Drosophila melanogaster: one gene and its partners. Each later gene encodes a partner of the first gene's protein in a complex. Each region holds a gene or a part of one and is shown in the gene's direction. Other genes may lie near its edges. The genes, in order: mio, Nprl3 and Wdr59.

The links.
Region 2: mio (region 1) and Nprl3 share a complex: the UniProt entries of both Drosophila melanogaster proteins name them as parts of the GATOR complex.
Region 3: mio (region 1) and Wdr59 share a complex: the UniProt entries of both Drosophila melanogaster proteins name them as parts of the GATOR complex.

Annotation. Positions count from the first base shown.
Region 1 is NT_033779.5:2,215,173-2,218,927, forward strand, and holds the start of mio (missing oocyte), read left to right. Parts: upstream 1-2,117; 5' UTR 2,118-2,254; coding exon 2,255-2,372; intron 2,373-2,425; coding exon 2,426-2,599; intron 2,600-2,657; coding exon 2,658-2,909; intron 2,910-3,001; coding exon 3,002-3,755. Other genes in the region: daed (daedalus), read right to left, coding at 159-287, 343-1,053; CG15386 (uncharacterized protein), read right to left, coding at 1,403-1,636; CG42371 (uncharacterized protein), read right to left, coding at 1,654-1,787, 1,841-1,970. UniProt on the Drosophila melanogaster protein: An essential component of the GATOR subcomplex GATOR2 which functions as an activator of the amino acid-sensing branch of the mTORC1 signaling pathway.
Region 2 is NT_037436.4:14,000,094-14,003,848, reverse strand, and holds the start of Nprl3 (nitrogen permease regulator-like 3), read left to right. Parts: upstream 1-1,968; 5' UTR 1,969-2,059; exon of another isoform or gene 2,060-2,204; 5' UTR 2,205-2,222; coding exon 2,223-2,356; intron 2,357-2,415; coding exon 2,416-3,755. UniProt on the Drosophila melanogaster protein: An essential component of the GATOR subcomplex GATOR1 which functions as an inhibitor of the amino acid-sensing branch of the TORC1 signaling pathway.
Region 3 is NT_033779.5:11,089,347-11,093,101, forward strand, and holds the start of Wdr59 (WD repeat domain 59), read left to right. Parts: upstream 1-2,097; 5' UTR 2,098-2,220; coding exon 2,221-2,532; intron 2,533-2,595; coding exon 2,596-2,806; intron 2,807-2,862; coding exon 2,863-3,146; intron 3,147-3,206; coding exon 3,207-3,380; intron 3,381-3,435; coding exon 3,436-3,755. Other genes in the region: CG16854 (uncharacterized protein), read left to right, coding at 1-1,073. UniProt on the Drosophila melanogaster protein: A component of the GATOR complex, which functions as a regulator of the amino acid-sensing branch of the mTORC1 signaling pathway.

The DNA of each region.
Region 1 (3,755 bases):
AACATATGGTTTCTATCAAATGTTCATGTTGGGCAGTAAAACTTCATTACAGCTTTAGATTAAGCGAATGCTTAAAGAAGTAATAAGTAAATTCTATAAACTTAGGTCCTATGAGAAAATCGGAATGTAACTATTAAATGCATCGTTGTGCGTTTTTTTTAAGTCTGAACGGAGATCCGCTCCAGTCGGGGAGCGCTGCGGAACTTGGTCCACCACCAGAACCAGGCGCACGAAAATCCCACAGCCAAGGTGGTGTAATACAAAATAGTAGCCAGGCTCCACTTCTTCTGCAATGCAAATTTGTATAAAGGAAAATAATTTCTTATTGCTTGCTATATTCACCTTCTTGTGACTCTCGTTGCCCTGCACTTTCTTCTGGCTCCTTGCGTTCTGGGCATTAGCTTCGATTTTCGCGAGATCCTTGGCAATCTCTTCGGTGATCTGATTCACGCTTTTTAGAGTTTCCTGGGCAAAGCAGCTGGCATATCGTTTGTCGCCCACCACGACGTCCTCGGGAGTGGAGACCTGCAGCTTGTAGTTGGTGGCCGCTAAAGAAGCGCGCAGGGACATAAAGTGGTTGCCAGCATTGCCCAGAATCTGATTGTTGTAGTTTTCGGCTTCAGGATGGTTGCAAATGTATTCGTAACTGGGATTCTGGTTGGGAATCTTTTCGAACATCTCCAGGAGCTGTTGCCGTTGCTTTCGACACTTGAACCCGAAGAGTTCCAAATCTTCGTCGGTGAGAGAGGCCAAATCCAGATAGTTAATGTTCTCGGCAATAAGTTTGTCCACACAGGTGCTGGCGTAGTCCGTTTCCACGCTGGTAGAGCACAGTAGACCGTTGAGGATCTCCCTCTCCCGGCGTGTGTCCCTGTGAGCCTTTTGGCGAACCCAAGGACGTCGATTGTAGCCCAGGAAAGCACTGTCCAATTCCTTCTGCTCGGTGTGCGAGTGAAAGTTCTTTGTGGCCTCAAACTGAATGGTCGGCGGAACCTTGGCCATCGCCACCAAGGGGACATCCCCCGCGGACATTGTGTGCGTCTTCGTTGCCATAAACTCTGTCAATAATGGCAATTAAATTACCATTAAAATGCAATTGCGCTTAGATTAGATTCGCTGTTAAGAATCGGACGTTTACGAGCACTGCGAGTAGGGGTGGTCAAGATTCCTAACAGATTATGTTAAAAGTAACAGAAGTAGTAAGGGCTCTGTAAACATTTAAAACGTGAATATTAACAATTTAGTAATTTTATTTCCTTTTTCCTATTTCGCATTCTTGTACGAATCGAATTTTCTTCTAATGAATCACCCTACCCAACCAATTAAGATTAAATGCTTAACATTTGTATTTAAAAAGTATAACAAATTGATAAATTGATGACGATTAAGCTTCCTAACTATCCTATTTCTCGGACGATGACCTGTAGATTGGGGCACTGGTGGTGGACGCCTCCTGGAGCTTCTTCATAAACAGAGCCTTTCGCTGCTCATCCGCACTCAGTTTGGTACTTGAAACGGAGGCTTTGATGCGCTCTAACTTGTCGACGTTCGGCTCGGTTAACACCATTAGGCCGTACCCCATTCCTCCGAAGCCAATCAGCCACAAAACGGACTTAAAGTAGGGATTACTAAGCATTTTGGAAGCGGTCTCCTCTAGTCGCTTTTCTTCAAAGCACTCCAATAACTCGCATCCGCCTGTCGCACTGTGCTGTCTCCGACGATTTCACCAATTTTGTAGTAATAGTCCAAAACGAAGGGATAGTTCTCGTGAATATGCTGACGAAACTCTAGGAGCGGATTGTTATTAACGATCAAAATAATTATATAAATATCCTCCCACCTCGATTCGTGTTCATGCGATAATAAACGCCGTAGCTGGCTGCGAAGCAGACTGCCTCGAGGACAAACAGTGTTTTGGCACTTCCTTTGATGAATTTCCAAATTGCAGGTTTTGGTGTTTTGCGCAGCATTTTAAGTGGGAGTTGTAAATATTAAACACGTTTGCTTTCTTACAAAAAAAAAAGGAAAACAAAATCACCTACCAGCTTATCGATAAAACGAATTATCGAACTGGGCCAGTGCTGGCTAACATGCGGCCAACAGCTGGTCGACCGGCTAGTGTGTGTGCGCCTCTTCTTCTTGCCATGTAGTGCAGTGTTTATCTCACGTTTTTGTTTTTGCAAACTGATAACGCGACGCAATTTAGTCTGTAGTGAAAATTGTTTTTTTTTACATCGATGGAAAATCGGCCACGATGAGCGGCAATACACACGGACTCAGCTGGTTTCCACATTTTCCCGACAAATTCGTATCCTGGGGCCAGGAAATCCATTTATACGAAGTGCGCCGCAAAGATGATCACAGCCAAAAAAGTAGGGTTTTCCCCAAGGGATTATGCCACTTTACTTAACCGCCCCCCTTGCAGGTCGCCTGCCTTATATATCCGTGAACTACCTCGCCAACGAGTCGCGCTATCAATATGCCCGCTGCGTGGCCGCCTCCTACCACAGTGACCAGCCCATAATTGCAGTGGGTCTGGCGGATGGCAAAGTCGGGATTTGCAACTTCCGGGACACCTACGACAGCAGCTGGGAGTACAGTGGGTGGACGACAACGCCGATTCTTAGCTGCATCTAATAGTTCTTCATTTCTCGTAGCACCGCGTCAGCAGCGCATGTGCACCTGCCTCGCCTGGAACGAGCTGGATGCCAATATCCTGGCCATTGGACACGATCGCCATCGAAATGACACCTGCATCACCATCTGGGACATTGAGCGTGGAGTTCCCAAGGAGACGGCCAACTTCTTCGGCGTCGGCGAGTCGGCCAACTCCATTTGCTGGGATCGAAATCATCGCACGGTCATTGCGGGAATGAGCCAGAAGATGATAAAGCTGTTCGATCTGAGGCGTGAGTACACATAATGCGACTGGTTATATTTCAACTACGTAGTATTACTTTATTGCCCTTTCACTGATGAAATCTTTAAATCCCTTTCGCAGAGAGTAACGCCACCTGTCAAAGCATTCAAACAAAGACAGTGCAGGGACTTTCCGTATCCCCCAATGGCAACTATCTCTGCAGCTATGTGGACTCGGTGATCACTCTGTGGGATCCGCGAAATATCAAGAGTCCCCTCAGGCAGATTCAGTCCTCGAAAAACCATTTGCAGATCGCTTGGTGTCCGACCAGGACAAGCCTGCTTTCCTCGCTGCAACGCGATTCCTCCTACATCACTCTCTACGACATCCGGAGTGTGGACACGGACAATTCCGGAGAGATCTACCACGTAAAACGACAGATTAGCCCCTTTCCGGCTAGATACCAGCACAGTGGAAAGTTTTCGTTTGTTAATTGCCTGTCGTGGCATTCGAGGGATTTCGAGAGAGCTCTGCTTTTGGCAGATGCGCTGAACATCCTGGACTTTCGACTGCCAGCCACCTTGCACACGGCGCACAGCAATCGCCGGAAATTGCCACTTCTGATGCAGCGTCCGCTCTACACACCCGCCTCGCCGACTTCCACTGCGGCCACGCCCACTCAGCAGCAGCCCACGAGCAGCTGCAGCACGAATAGCGGGAGTTCCCTGGACTTTAGCACTCCTGGTGGTTCGCCCTTCAATGTGGACCTGCTGAAACCGGAACTCTTTGAGCTGGATCTGGTGGACGAGACGCGTCAGCGCGCTCTAGAGGATTACGGCATCAAACCCGATAACAAGCGATTCGGCGAACTCCACTTGACACCGTATCTGCGAAA
Region 2 (3,755 bases), on another chromosome or scaffold:
CTCCTTAGAAACTCGAGCAAAACAAACTAAAAACAACTTGAAATTTAACAAAACAATTGCTTCGGGTTGGCAACTCTGTGCGAGGGGCATAATACGCACATCTACCTTCACGTTGCACAAAACGGAATCGAAAGCAAAACAAATGAACCCGCAAAGCTGTGCGAGCGAGCACGCTATACTGACGGTTAGTTGAAAAAAGAATATGCAATCAAATATGGCGACACACAGTATGCAAAAAAAAAAACCATACAAAATCGACGCATCAACAAATGAAATATTTATTTAACTGGCTCGACTCAAAATAAAATCTGAATTTCATATATATGTGATCCAATAGATATGTATAACCCATTCGACTGTATATTTTTCGATTCAAAATATTTCCGATTTGGGCGCGCACTCACATACAAACACACACACTAGTTTTACTCACCGTTTACTCTGTTATTTTGAATTTTCACTTCATTTTGCACAACTTAATTTAATTTAACGACAAGCTACGTGGTTTATTTTTTATTTCGAAACTTTATATTTCAATTTTATAAATACAAATTAAATTTGTATACACTTTAACACTGGTTCTTTTTTGTTCCGTTGCACATTGTTGATTTGCAGCATTTAAGTGATGGCGCGACGTTGTTTCGAACGTTTACTACCTGCACAAATTAAAATGTTTCTACTTTGATTAATCAATTTTATTATTATTAATACCGTATGGCACAAGAAGCAGAAGACAAAACGCGCAGGAAAACACATAAACTGGGATTGCTTAAGACGTGTGTAAGAGCGAGACGACCAGTCGGTTTGAGCAGACCATATAGCTAGTGTGACCGTTCTAGCCTATGGACAAGACATGCCAACTGACTATTATCGCCTATTTTATTTTGTTCGCCTGCCCTGCTTCTTCTTCTTGGTTTTTGTGTTGCGCTGTTTCCCTGTTTAGCCTATTACTACTGCGCCTGGCCATTCCGAAATGCTGTACGTACATATTTCGATTTCGCCTTTCCGCCTATTCGTTGATACCCACACAAACGTATATCTGTGCATGCCTTTCTACGTAGGTATGTGTAAAATCTATACACACGGATGTTGGCGCACATATACACAAAAAGTAAAATAGTTATGTTATTAACTATTTAACCACAAGCTATTTACATTTTAGGCACTTATTAATCCTATTTTCCAAAATACAAGGAATAGATACAGAAACGAAGACATAGTAGAAAAACAAACCTACAAGTAAATGACAATTAGTTGAAATTAACTTATTGGCCACCATACTGCCGAAGAGTGCGAAACTAATTCAGAAGCGAACCACTCAGCCAAGTAAACTATATTTTTTTGTAGAATTAGTTATACCTCTCCTACACTCACACAAATATTATATATATGTATATATAGACCGCGGCTAGTACACGTTTAGCGTCGTCTCGCTCCCACCTACGATCCGCACGTATTTTGCCTCTCACAATGTGTGTGTTTTCCTCTTTTCCAACACGCTAATAAGAAATCGTCATTTTTAAAAGTGCTTTTACAGCCAAACTAACATGTTTCACAGGGGAATTTCATAGTTCTGCGATTGCCGCGTTCGCATACTACGCTCCCAGTTATTTTCACAAATTTTTTGTTGACGTTTCGAGCACAATTTCCACACGTTTTGCTCACAACTTTCCGCTTCTAAAAAATTAGAGACTGACCAACCGAAGACGGTCACACTACAGCGGAGCGATAGATCGTTATCGCTCGACCAGGGATCCTATACTATTAGCCTTGCCGATATATATTTATTTATATAGTAAGACCGTTTTTCGTTTAGTATTTTTTAGTTTTTGAATATATTATCTAAGGTATCTATGGTAAATTTAAACGATTTAAAAAAATTCCATTGCGTTGCATTTATATTATTGTTTCGCCTGCAAAATGAAAACTGACATGACTACTATTTTAAATAAGTTTTTGGTATTTTATGCAAACTAAAAGAGAGCCACACTGCTGTAAATATATTTTATATTTTACATTTATTTACTTTGCTTCCATTTCTCAATGAAGTCAAATTGAGGTACTAATAAATAAATAAAGAGTTGTTGAGGTAGTTTCTGTAGCAAACTACGATTTATAAAGTATTTTTGAAAACATAGCCAACTATTTGTTGACCCTGACCCCAGTTGATAATGCAAATGTTCATATTTTAATTTACATAAAAGGGGAAGTGTCTGTGTGCCATGGAAACTAATGTGAATCCCCTGGCCGTAATCCTGGTTTACTTCGATAGCAAGGGGGATCGGTTACTGTACAGGTATCCGTACCAGACTCTCGGCCAAACGGAGGTGGCCAACGACGAGCAGCGGAAGTCCAGGTACTACCTATTAATTCAAAGGGCACTCAGCTTGACTATACCGATTTATTCAATCACAGAAAGCGCAATCCCTATGCCGTGGCCAATACGGACGATCTGCTGCAGACACCCACCCACTTGGGTGCTGCCAAGAGCCAAGGACAACTGCAGGGATTCGCAGATGAGGTCCTGTCCGCTCTGTTTGCTGTTAAACCACAGCTATGCAACCAAAAGTTTGAACTCAAACTGAACGACGTACGCTTTGTCAGTCATCCCACTCTGATACCGCAAAAGGAGCAGAGAAGTGGTCCAATGGCCAAGCAACAGATGCTCATCAACATTGTTTTTGCGCTGCATGCACAGGCCAGCTACTCGATTGTTAAGTGCTACCACGAACTGAGCAAGCGCCTTGGACTGGCGCTGAAGTTCGAGGAGCAGCGCAGTGGCTATCTCACCGAGCAGACGGCTCAAATGGCTCGCACACACGACGAGCAGCAGCAACAGCCGCTGGAACGCACACTGGAGCTGATTGCAGAGCGCTGCAGCTTGGCACAGGCCTTGCGCTCCATCTTCCATGATCTATGCACCACTGGACTGCTGAGTACCTCGCTGAATCACAACCTAACGTTGTGCTTCTGTCTGCCCGCTAAGGCACACCAGCTCCATAAGAAGGGCAGCATGGTGGATCCAGAGACCATAGATCGGTGCCTTCGTGCACTGAAGCCCTATCATGGCATGTTGCTGCTGGTCGACTTTGCCGAATTGTTGGACTGCGTTCCACCGACTGGGGCACGCATGCTATGGCAGCTAGTCGACGTCTACGACCCACTGATCAGTCTGCAGAGCATGTCCTCCAATGCAGACTTGAGTATCGAGCATGTTTATAAGCTCGTCTCGCATTTGGTCTACTGGGCTAAGGCAACTATTATTTATCCACTCTGCGAGACAAATGTCTATGTGATCGCGCCGGATGCACCATTGCACACCAAGTCCCACCTGGTGGAGAAGTTCTCGGCCCGTTTTGCCGGTATGTCGCTGTTCGAGGTGATCTCCGATTTTTCATTGCCCACTTCAATTGGACACTTAACCACGCCACTGCAGCAGCCAGCGCGACAGGGTATCCTCGCACAAATGGTGATTTGGATGCTGCAGCACCATTTGCTCATGCAGTTGCACACGTACGTTCAGTTTATGCCCAGCGAGGATGAATTCGGAGATTCGGCCTCCTGCAGCAACCATCTAAGGGATGCCATTAGCGATGAAGAAGGAGACCAAGAACCAGATGCGGACGAGTTGCATGGCTCCATGCTTAGCATGTCCAGTCATCCGTTGCCAGTGCCAGCGGTATTGGTGGGCGGACATCGTCGTGAGGCGTCCGAGGACCATTCATCACTGGCCTCGGACAACATCGCCGTGCAGC
Region 3 (3,755 bases), 8.9 Mb from region 1:
AGGATGTGGCAATGCTCTCGGCATTCAATTACAATCAAAATGGGTTCCGAAAGCAGCCAACGGATTATTATCTGCGACCCATGATTATGGAAATGGAAAAGACTGTGGCCTTCAAGAAGGACCTCAACATGCACTTGTGCATGGGCAGCCGGAGGACGGCGGATGTGCTGCTCGAGTATATGAAGAAATTGGTGCCACGAATGAGCAGGGATCTTTACTTTTCATTTTTTTGGACGGTGGCCCTAACCCATGACTATTTTAATTTCCCCTCACTACTGGATGAGGCCATGTTGCAACAGTTGATGCAGCTGCAAGATTCCGGATTGCTCAATCGCACGGTGGTAATGTTGCTATCCGATCACGGACTGAGATGGGGTTCCTTTCGTCGTACCTACCAGGGCATGATGGAGGAGCGCCAGCCCCTAATGATGCTTTTGTATCCGCCATGGATGACCGAGCGTTATCCGGAGGCAATTGCCAATCTTAGGTTAAATGCCCGCCGGCTAACCACACCATTTGATGTGCACGCGACAATGTTGCAGCTGCTAAATCTTCACAATCTGGAGGCAGATCAGTTGCAACGCAGATCAACAGAGATGGACGAGCCGGATAGCACGCTGCCCAGAGGCATTAGCCTATTCCTGCCCATCCCGGCTGCTCGGACCTGCGAGCAGGCAGGGATTGCCGCCCACTGGTGCACCTGCCATCAGCGCCAGGAGCTGCAGACAAACGATCCACGTGTCCAGCGGGCGGCGCGCTATCTGGTACGCTTGATCAATAACCGACTGAAGGATAGCTCACAGTGCAGAACCCTATACCTGAACTCCATACTCCAGGCTCTGATTGCAGCGCCGCACTCGAAGATTGTGAAGAACATTTCCACGGACTACGCAGTGGACATCACCCTGCGACTGCAGACGAAGCCCGGGCTGGGTGTGTTTGAGTCCACGGTGCGGATGACGGGCTATACGACCGTACTAACGGGCACCATTAGTCGTCTGAATCTGTACGGAAGCCAGAGCTACTGTCTCAACGATCCGGCGCTAAAAATGTTCTGCTATTGCCACAGATAAGGCAATGGCAATGTAACTGGGAGCTTTCGGGGATGGGGAGGATGTGTTTGACGTCAAAGACTTGAAACCCATTAACGTAGCCTTAGCCATAAAACCTAGTTTATTTCTATGAAATAGCCAATGTTTGTATAAAAATACTTATCCAATTTTAGCCTTTGCCGTAAGGAGTTCCCAGTCTTAGGCACCTATGTAGTCACGGTAGTTGAGCGGAATTTGTTTATTTCCCACTAACTTAGAGGACAATAAACTGAATGAACTAATAATCGTAATAACCGCAGAATTACTTTGTGTATGTAAAATAAATGATAAGCTATTACTGACTAGGGAGGGAAGTGGCGAACATATAAATAAATAATAGTATCCAAAATATGTAGCACTTAATGTTGTAGACCATAATTGAGTTGTTATATACATATATAATGCACTTTTTGTTTAGTATCTCATGATTTATAGCCTTATGCTGAGTTAATAAATGAATAATAGGATGAACTTTTTATAAATGAGTCAATTGGGAATATCCCTTTCTAGTTACAAATTTATTTAGATGCTAAATTATATTTAGCCACGTACTTTAATAATTTTCATAACATTTATGAACCAATGCACATGTATATTTTTGGTGATTGACAATTTATAAAATGTAATAAATCTATAAAAAAAATCGAACGTTTTTATTTAACAAGACCATATATATAAAATTATAAATTTTGCTCTGAGCTCGTTTACCTGTTTTATATCATAAATTCAAATCCCGATAGCTATAACCACAATTTTATCGATACTATCGAAAAAACAACATTTTCAGCTATAGTTGTGCTGTCGTTATTCCAGCTAGATTTATGGGTGTTACAAACTTTTGCGACAAAATATTAGGTACAATTTTTTCATATAATGTTCTAGTTTAATTTTGTAATTTTTTTAATATATTATCAAAAACTATAGCAACAGCATTATTGAAAAATAGCCAGCTTAACGAGGTCCTGGAAATTCATTTGTCGGAAAAAATGCTTAATTGCCAACACAGACGCCTGTTGTTATTGTCTATCGTTCTTATCAGTTCAGTTTCTTCGTTTAATTTTTGTTTGTTGCAAAAATGGTTTAAATTCGCAGTCTTTTGCTTTTTGAGCACTTATTAGAGTAGGACAATATGCCGCCCACGGAGACACTGCGTCCGGGAGAACGCGGAACAGCCGGTGGACCGGGAGCAGGAGCACCCGAACAAACGTACATCGTCAGGCAGAGCAACAAATACTATGAACACCGAGATTCCCAGGCCACGGCCATGTCGGTTGATTACTCGGGTCAGTGGGTGCTCCTCGCGGGCCGTGGTCACCTGGCTTTGCAGCGTTTGGGACAGGACGATGGGTCTCTGCGACGACATGAACGGCAATCGAAGTACGAGGTGTCCGTAGCAGAGTTTGCCATATGTCCCAGTCGCAAAGAGTACTGCGCCATAGCGGTAAATACATAAAGTTATCTACGTATAGGCGGCGTTTATCCCAGTTTGACCTTTGAATTTCAGACTAGCCAGCACATAGACATCGTTCGCTGGGGCACTGCGGAACCACACTACGAGATGTCCTTGCGTGGGCATACTCGAACAGTGACCGACATTGACTGGCACGGCAAGGATCCGAATCTGCTGGTCAGCTGCTCAATAGACACATTTTCTCATATTTGGGACTTAAGGGAGCCCAGGAAACCAGCCCTGTCCTTGAATGCCGTGTGCATGTGTAAGTTTCTACAAAATAATTTCAACTTTTTTATATTATATTTAAAATTCTTTCAGCTGGTGCTACACAAGTGGGATTCAACCGCGTTTCGGGCAACCTTTTGGCTGCTGCCCATGATGGAGATTTACGCATCTGGGATATTCGCAAGGGTAGTTGCCCGACGCACTATATCACAGCACATTTAAATAGAGTGCATGGCATCAATTGGAGCCACAAAAGGGAGACCTGCTTGGCAACCGCCAGTCAGGATGGAACGGTCAAGTACTTTGATGTATGTAATCCTCGCAGGGCCGAGAAGATCATTACAACCATGTCGCCCGTTTGGAGAGCGAGATACACGGTAATTTATATTGGTTTATCAATATTGATTGCTATTCTAAATACATCTTGTTCCATACAGCCTATTGGCAACGGTCTGGTTAGCATTGTGGTGCCCCATTTGGGACGCGGAGAGAATAGTTTGCTGCTCTGGAGCAACAGCAAGCAAACGGACCCTATTTGTTCCTTCGTGGGGCACACCGATGTCATTCTTGACTTTGCCTGGCGTCCAAATCGTGAAAGTTCCAATGAAATAGTAAGTATTTTAAAGATACCACAATGTTCTTACTTATGCATTGAGCTTTAATTAGGAACTGGTCACTTGGTCCAGGGATCGCACGCTGCGGGTGTGGAAGATCGATGATAATATGCTAAAGCTTTGCGAACCGTCTGCGGAAGAAATAGAATCCCGTTTCGAGCCCGATCTCAGTGAGTTAAGAGTGCCTACTCCTCCAGAATTCCTGCATCCACGATCAATTTTGGTTGCCGCTTCGTTGCCCATATCCACGGGTGACGGTGCTTGTAATACCTTGCCCATGGCTCGCTCCCCGAGCTTTGGAGGTGGCTACTATCGCAGGGAAGAGCCCCACATAGCCAGATCACTAACAGATCAACCCACGTGTTCGCTGCA